Linked DNA regions of Lytechinus pictus. The main gene of each other region encodes a partner of the protein of the gene in region 2 in a complex. Links are inferred from orthologs where the notes say so. Each region holds a gene or a part of one and is shown on either strand. Other genes may lie near its edges.

Region 1 (4,282 bases), on a different chromosome or scaffold from region 2:
GTCTTCAAAAACATTCATTTCCATACTTTATTTTTATAACTGGTTTACCTTTGGATTCCTCGCCCTGCTCGCTGGCATTTTCTAATTCTTTCCTTATTTCATGAAGCAACTCCCTGGCTTGATACTTTGATTTATAGGGATTGGTTTCTGGATCTTTCTTGGATGCCTGTTCATAAGAGAACATAAAACACAATGACAAACATAACAAAATTTTCTGAAAAGTAGATCAAGACTACCAGGGGTGTGAGTGGTCACAAATAAAAAGATCTGAAAAAAGCTGAAGAGTGTTGAAAAAAGTCAGAAATAGAAAGAGCTCCCATACTTTTTGTACAGAGGAAGGCCAAAAATATGCTGAAATTAAGCTGAAAAAAAAATAATCTGAAATCAGATAAAAATCTGAACTCTCACATCCCTGACTACTCAATACTTTTCAGGCAAGCTGGATCAGTTCTTCAGACTACATTGCCACAAAATATGAAAGCCCTTCAGTAAGTATGCCACAATTGAAATCTGATCGAAATTTGAAAAAATATCAATTTCTTCCAAAACTAAGGATGAGCTGTTTTAGGATTTAACAAAAAAAACTATGGTGTTCCACGGATGCACACCTATTCATTTCTTATACGCTTGTCAGTGGGGTGAATTGTCTTGTGATTTTCTTTTTCTTTTAAATAGACTTCTAGTCATGATTTTTTTTGGTGAAATCAGTTCCTGTTTAGTGCAGTTTAGATATCACAAATTATATCTAAGGTAAAAAATTTTATTTTAAAATATCTGTGGATTTTGTACAACAGTGCTTGAAAGTCTGACTACTCTGGCAGCTTTTCCCCCACCATATTGAGGTCCCAATGCCCCCTAGAGCGAGTACCTCTTAAAAAATTGCATTCTTTTGAGTTTTGGCTAGATCTAAGACTCATTATAGTGAGTGATTGTATTACTGACCGGCCTTGTATTACCGAACACGCGCATCGTAGCGTCAGAAAATAATTTCATACGCTTAAAATTTTGCAACATTCTTCCAAAGGGAACTTGAATAGAAAGATGATGAAAAATGGTCAAAAACACATTTTCAAAGTATTAATATTCTAAAAATAATAAAATATGGTGAAAATAGCTCATCAGTAATTTTGTTGTTTTCTCAACTTTTCCCATAGAAAACACACGTTCGGTAATACGATACCTTTTTCAAGTGACCAAAATATTTCACATGCGAAGAGGGGTCCGATTGGAAGCTAATATTGAAAAAAGGAAAACCGATTTCGGCAAAAAAAAATCATATTTATATTTTGTAGGTAATTGTGCATTTATGGTGAAAGTTTGGTAAATTTTATGAGAATAATGTGTTTGATATGATTGAATTCATGAAGTGTTCGGTAATACGATCCACTACCATATAAAATGTTCAACTTTCACTTACACTACAGGCTTGGAAGTGGACTGACAAGTTAGCATTCTTTTTCAAATATCACATTCATAGGTATTAATAAACAGGATCAACAGTTGGTTACTGAAATAAGCAAAATATCTGTGATTTTAGATTCCCATCAGGCATCTGGCATTGTCTGCATGGGAAAATCGTGAACTTTTGAGTTTTGAGTTTGACTTGTTTAAAAAATATAAGCATTTCCTCTTATCCCAATAAAATATAGTAAATCTCACATTCAACTTCGTGCAAATTTTTGTATTAAAAAAAAAGAAGACCGGAATTTACTCTTTTACATGATACAAAACATTTTAATAAAAAATACCCAGGATTTCAGCACAATTCAAACTTAGGCAGGTCTACTAACACAAAATTGCACATATGGGACCGATCACGTACACGTTCTTTCTATTCGATGTAAGCTGTAAAATTTACTTTTCAAACCTTTTAATGAATAATGTGGCTTTCACTCACCTCTTCTGAAAGTTTTCTCGCTTCTGAATACTTTTCAATCAAATCAGTGAACTGTGAATCTGACATGATGAACTGCTCTGTCTGACTTTCGTAAATCAAAAGTACTCTGGAGTCTGGGCTGGCGTGGACGCAATTAATGCACGATAATCAGCATCCGCGTTTAATAACTATGGTAGAGTTTTCAATGATGCAGTAGGATTAAAGGTGGATAAAATTAAATAAGATGCATAAGCAGGGACAACACCCCCCCCCCCCCACACACACACACACACACACCATCCACGTCCAAAGGGTAAACTCGTCCTGTAAATATGACAACTATAAGTTTTGTTTTCAAACTCGCTTATACTGCACTCGCAATATTAGGTTTAAGGCAAGGACGTTCCACAGTTAAAATGAAGTCCATGTCATTCTCACCAAATTTTGCAGAGAATTAATTTGGTATCTATGCATTATGAAAATGCAAAAAATAATATAGGTTCATGTGCTTATTTTTTTTCTATGGGTCTTCAAAGTCGCCGTATTTGAATGATATGCAATCTTTCGCAATCAAGAGAATTATGCATCTCTTAGACCTCACGAATTCACCATATGAGTTTAAATCATCTTAAATACTCAGTGGATATACCCCATCAAACTTCATCAAATTTTCAAGATATATAACAAAGTGTATACCAAAGTAAGAGAAAGTCTTTTAATTGGTAAAATTATATCTATTTGGAGTCAGCAGCGCCCTCATTTGTCAAAAATGGTGCAAAAACGCGGAAAAAACAAATCTTCAAAGACGTGAATCTACTCAAAAATTATAAAAAGTATTTTGTAAGCTGCACTTTATTCAAAATCCATGTCATTTTCATCAAATTCGGCTAAATTGTAGAGGAATGCATATCGAAGGTGTAGGGAAGTTAAGAATATGGGGTCCATGTGCTCGTTTTTTAATTATGAGTGTCCAAAGTGATGCGAGTTGGCCTGAAAATCGCCCAAAATGCGCCCAAAACGCGCAAAAGTCTAACAATGCCTTTTAAAATGCGAATGGTTCCGTAGTTTTGCCCCCAAACATTCAAAATCCATGTCATTTTCATCATACTCTCTAGATTTGTAGAAGAATTTATTTTGAAGACATTAAAATATTAGAAATATGGGGTCCATGCTTTTGTGCTCGTTTTTAAACTATTGGTGTCCCAACAGTGTAGCAAGTTGGCTTGAAAATCGCCTAAAAAGCGCCGAAACATGCAAAAGTCTCTCAATACCCTCTAAAATGCAAATAGTTCAATATTTCGCTCCCAAATATTCAAAATCCATGTCATTTTCATCATACTCTCTAGACTTGCAGAGAAATATATTACGATGACGTTAAGATATTAAAAATATGGGGTCCATGTGCTCGTTTTTAAACTATCAGTGTCCAAAGTGTTGCGAGTTGGCTTGTAACAGCCCCAAATGCGCCGAAAACATGCAAAAGTCTAATAATACCGTCTAAAATGTCTAAATTACAAATGGTTCCGTAGATCTGCTCCCAAACACTCAAAATCCATGTCATTTTCATCATACTCTCTAGATTTGCAGAGGAATATATTTTGACAACGTTGAAATATTAAAAATGTGGGGTCCATGTGCTCGTTTTTTAAACTATCAGTGTCCAAAGTGTTGCGAGTTGGCTTGTAACAGCCCCAAATGCGCCGAAAACATGCAAAAGTCTAATAATACCGTCTAAAATGTCTAAAATACGAATGGTTCCGTAGATCTGCTCCCAAATGCAAAATCCATGTCATTTTCATCATACTCTCTACATTTATAGAGGAATATATACTGAAGACGTTAAAATATTAAAAATATGGGGTCCATGTGCTCGTTTTCAAATTATCAGTGTTCAAAATATTGCGAGTTGGCTTGAAACAGCCCAAAATGCACCGAAAACAAGCAAAAGTCTCTTAATACCGTCTAAAATGCGAATGGTTCCGTAGTCTTGCTCCCAAACATTGAAAATCCATGTCATTTTCATCATACTTTGCACATAGATACTTTAGCACCTGAATATTCCAAATATGCTAAAATTAACATGGGTAAATGTGCTTGATTTTTTGCTATATAGCTTCAAAGTTAACCCAAAATGGATGATGTTCTTAAGAATTGCGCATCCGAAAGGATTTGGCATTTTTAGACCTCACGAGATCACAACAATGAGTTTAAAGCCCTATTACTCAGTCAGATTCCATGAAAATTTCGTCAAATTTTGCAATATGATTTATAATTGTATCCGTAAGATGGATAATCCAGCTATATTGCTGTCAATTGTTTGCTCATTTAAGTCTAACAACACTCTCAGTTCTTAGAAATTGCGGGAAAGATTGAACCTCAAAAATTTCAAATTTCAATAACAAACTT
Region 2 (4,282 bases):
CCCCCCCCACTGCCCGGACCAGATTTATGACAGTGCCCAGCACCCCGCTTCCCATGCAGTGGCGTAGCTAGGATATTTTTCCTGGGGGGGCACTAGGGGGGTCCTTGCTTTTTCAGGGGGGCACCAGTTTTTCCGTTGTTTGTGTATGTGTCACAAGGGCGGATCCCACTTTCGCCAATAGGGGACGGGGCCTATATTTCCCCCGATCAGTCACTTCTTACTTTTATTCTTATAAAACAACATAAACATGAAATAATCTCATAAGCCTTATAAAAAGTGCGAGCGCGAAGCGCGAGCGATTTTTTTTTTATTTTTTACTTTCATGTATTTTGTCCTGAAAATTTAATATTCTGGGCAATGTTATGTGTGATCCTGAAAAAGATTCGTATGTAACTAAATGGTTACTGCAAACGCCAAGCGCGAGCAGAAATTTTATCAACTGTTCTAGCATTATCGAAAAGGGACCTGTTAAGGACAGTTACCCACGAAGACGGTATATATTTCAATAATGCGAGCGCGAAAAGCGCGAAGCGCGAGCAAATTTTTTTTTACATTCCGACATAAAAAATTTTCATTCTAAGCACTTTTTGTATTAATAAATGGGATAGGTATGTAACTAAACAATTGATGCGAGCGCGAAGCGCGAGAGGAAGAAAATTGTGATTTTAGACCTAAAAGCGGGACACTCTATTCATATTTTGTAAACCATAAATAGGATATAGTTAATTGGGTATCATTAATAATGCGATCGTGAAGCGTGAGCAGACAATTATTGATATTCTTATGTGAAACTGGATAGTTTTAGTAAATTTAATATAAAGAACATGCAGGCTATCGCGCATGTTTTAGATTTAGACCTAGAATCTGGGCAGTCTGAATACATTTTTAATGGAACATTATGGAATACACGTAGATAATAGGAACTTGGCAAATCAAACAATTTGACCACGCAGCGTGAGCTTAAAAATGCTGATATGTAGACTATAAAAGGGATATTTTACAGCTAGAGCACTTAAATTTGTTAATGAAAAAAATTGATGAAAGTTCGTGTCCGAGCTAAAATGTATTTTGTATATCGACTTCAAAACTTGCTCCATATCAGCCTATTGAGCAAGAAATGAATCTCATCGAACAGGCAATTCTGGCGCGAAGCGCAAGCAAAAGTTTTATATAGTAACATGAAAGATTTTTTTTTTGCAAGTCTTCCTTTCACATTATTTCATTCACTCGTCTTCCTCTTCTTTATTTTCTTCTGTCTTTCATCTTCTTTTCCTTTTTTCTTCCCTTTTTTTTTGCTCTGCCAATTTTTTTCAGGGGGGCACCTGGGGGGCACACCAAATCTCAAGGGGGGCACGTGCCCCCCAGGCCACCCCGTAGCTACGCCACTGTTCCCATGGCTATGCTTTTATTTTATTAATTGGGTCCCCGGCCGGCCCGCCCCCCGGCCCCAACTTACTAGCTAGCTCGGAAATCATCGTACCGTAGCTAGCGCTCTCAATTTCACGTTTTGGAGGCAAATTACGAACAGACCTGGCAGAAACGTTCGTAATATAAACATCATAATTCAGTTTCATTAATGAATTTACGGCGGAACTGACATGAGTAGTAAGTTTTGATGTCACTTTACTGCATAGTTCATCTGAATGTAATGTATTGGCTTACCTTTAGATTATCTCTGTAGGATTGTTTTTATTCATAAAACTCCGCGCCTGGAAATCCAAGAGTCCACTGCCAGTCAGCGGTAGCCTGTGGTAGGACTTCGCCGCCATCAGCCGCCTGGCATAGGCGGCTTTCCGTGGCCTGGCGGCGAGCACAAGAGTCGAGACTGTCATTGACATTGACATTGACATTGACTGTCCGGACAATGCCATCGTCACTCAGTCTCAGCTGAGCTCAGACCTCAGTTCAGATCAGAGATTTCTTGTGGGGATAGAAGGCTTAATTACCGTTTTTGGTGGGGCACTTTTCGTTTTCATGGCAGAGCCAGAGACTGGCGGGATCATGTTCATCATTGGCCACGGGATTGAATTTGAAAAGGGGGCAAACGCATAATGGCGAATTGCGTAATGTTGGCTTAATCTAAATAAGATATTGAATGTGCTTTGTGGATTTGAAGAATGCATGTTTTATGAAAAAGAATGTGATATTTCATGAAAATCTCCAAATAGATCAGATCCAGATCTATATCTAGACCTTGTCCTCGATCCTCCCCCCCCCCCCCCCCCCCCTTGAGATCTCGGCTGTTGGCCACGCGATCGCGCTGAAAATTGGCAGGTGGGTTGTGTGGAACACAATCTACAAAATTGTGTAGTAATTTATTTCATGTAAATTGCTATTAAGTGATTATGCGTAATTAGTATGCAAAATCATACTTTTCCCTCTAATTCCCTAAATAGAGCTCCATACATATGTTCTATTTTTTTGTATAGAAACATGATTAACTTAATGGTATTCTTAGCAAGTGTACATGAATAGGATTGAGATATCAGATCAACTATTACATGTATATTGTTTTTTGCAATTTTTTATGTATTTCTCTGTTTTTTGGACCTTTTGTTTTTCATTGTTTTTTCAATGAAATTTGTTGGGGACTCTTCTGAGATCATAAACAGCATAAAATAAATACATTTAGACCAGCAAAATATGAAACTAAAAATAATCATACATTCATGATTTTTTATTGAAAAAACAATTTGCTTTGACTTTGTACACAAAATCACATTTTCAGCAATTTTTGGTCTGACATGCACTTACATAATGTTACATACACTCGGAACCGCGTACCTGGGTGACGCAAAACTGGTCTCAAAAGTTGCGCAAGACTTGAAAATTAAAAGTCAGCGAGCGGCGCGGTCTAAAAAATTCGCTCGGCGAAAATATATTGCGCGAATCATTGAGGGGGGCCTCCGAGCCCCCCCCCCCCCCGACCTGGATAGGGTTAATCCAATGTCATGTGATATAATGTCTTGTATGTGTGATGCCTCATTCTAACATGTACTGTACCTCAGGTGATGGTTCATGTAGGCTCCACTACACTTCACTATGCAACACCTACCCGAACCATCTGGCCAGGTAACTCGTTCTGACACTCTGAGTGACAAAAGGTGTCACTTTGTGTCATCAAATAAAAAAACTCATGCAACAACATGACCTTACAAATGATCTATAACAAATCTTCTTACATTTCACTCCTTGTTTTGTCCTTGCTTGTATCAGTCTCAAAATCTGCGTTTTAAAGCCAGTTGCTATTTGCAGAATTATCACGTTTTTACTTTCTCCTACACAAACGGCTAGTCATCTTGCACGCAGTGATAGGGACCTAGTCCCCATCTTTCATAGCCAGGCTGATAAGTATGAACTATCTTTTCCCCAATAAGATTTCTAATTCATCTACATCTAAAGTCCTTATGTCTCGATTTTCGTTTCATTTCACAGAGAAGGACAAGGGACAACCTCCAGCTAACAACAATGCAAGGTAATGTATCTCCTGTTGATTCTTACAATGGGTGATTTCAAGTTCATTGCTGGTGTTGGTGTAAGCACGAATCAGATTGCCTTCCCTTGCACCAAATGACCATAACTTGATTTGAGTTTATAAAAATGAACCAAATCACATTAGATCTATCATGTGTAATTCAACACTGCACCTTGTGAGATTCAGGTGGGGACCAGATTCATTTAAGTTTGGTGTTGTGCTGGTGTGATAAATTGCTAAGCACCAAAGCCATGATGTCAATTGCCAACACTGAGCTTGAAATAACTGTTGGCCTAACATGAGATCAGAATGATTCTTATAATACAGCTGAAGTAGGCATTCTGGAGACAAGATAGTAAGCATATATTTTTATCAATAGGATGTTTTCACACCGCGACGCAGAAAGTTTTCAAGAACATACATGCATGTACAAAATGTATTGTCGAATGCTCTTCATGACAAAGAGCAACCAAGAAGTCTTTGTCAAATATTGGTGTATCAAAACAGCACTTTCATCCTGGACCCTGGACAAACAATTTATTTGCAACATTTCATCAGCTCCGAAACTTAGGATGGTTCACCTACAAAGACCTCCCAACTGGTCATTGTCATTTGACAGGCATTATCATTCCATGTACTGTGATGTGTTCTTGAATTCTCGCTACCCCAAATAGGAACAAAAATCTCATAATGCGCGAGACGAGATAATTTTCACTCCGACGGGTCGTCATCACCACTTCCGGTTCAGAGTCATGCTCGCGCGAGGTTCGCGATACTGAGTTTTCCACCACGCTGAAATCGATGCCA

What was found. The genes of interacting proteins can lie anywhere in the genome.
Region 1: the proteins of kinesin-like protein KIF15 (region 2) and KIF-binding protein-like are in contact, whole or in part, in a cryo-EM structure (PDB 6ZPH), measured with the Homo sapiens proteins. The link is inferred for Lytechinus pictus from reciprocal best matches to the Homo sapiens genes KIF15 and KIFBP. Residues at the interface, in NP_064627.1 of Homo sapiens: Leu187, Glu189, Ile191, Lys192, Lys193, Arg231, Glu232, Arg235, Arg271, Met280, Arg281, Leu282, Lys283, Glu284, Ala285, Gly286, Asn287, Asn289, Arg290, Leu292, Ser293, Gly296, Gln297, Ile299, Ala301, Val303, Asp304, Val305, Gly306, His312; in NP_056449.1 of Homo sapiens: Lys26, Tyr33, Lys36, Ile106, Glu109, Ile147, Ser150, Glu151, Glu153, Thr208, His209, Tyr212, Tyr213, Gln216, Gln219, His220, Phe224, Gln238, Glu248, Trp249, Ile251, Asn252, Thr255, Gln258, Phe259, Asn262, Tyr415, Val416, Thr417, Glu421.

Annotation. Positions count from the first base shown.
Region 1 is NC_087247.1:22,972,620-22,976,901, reverse strand, and holds the start of KIF-binding protein-like, read right to left. Parts: upstream 2,245-4,282; 5' UTR 1,964-2,244; coding exon 1,898-1,963; intron 167-1,897; coding exon 49-166; intron 1-48. UniProt on the Homo sapiens protein: Activator of KIF1B plus-end-directed microtubule motor activity. Required for organization of axonal microtubules, and axonal outgrowth and maintenance during peripheral and central nervous system development.
Region 2 is NC_087246.1:69,478,048-69,482,329, reverse strand, and holds the start of kinesin-like protein KIF15, read left to right. Parts: upstream 1-1,478; 5' UTR 1,479-1,598; coding exon 1,599-1,605; intron 1,606-3,435; coding exon 3,436-3,475; intron 3,476-4,282. UniProt on the Homo sapiens protein: Plus-end directed kinesin-like motor enzyme involved in mitotic spindle assembly.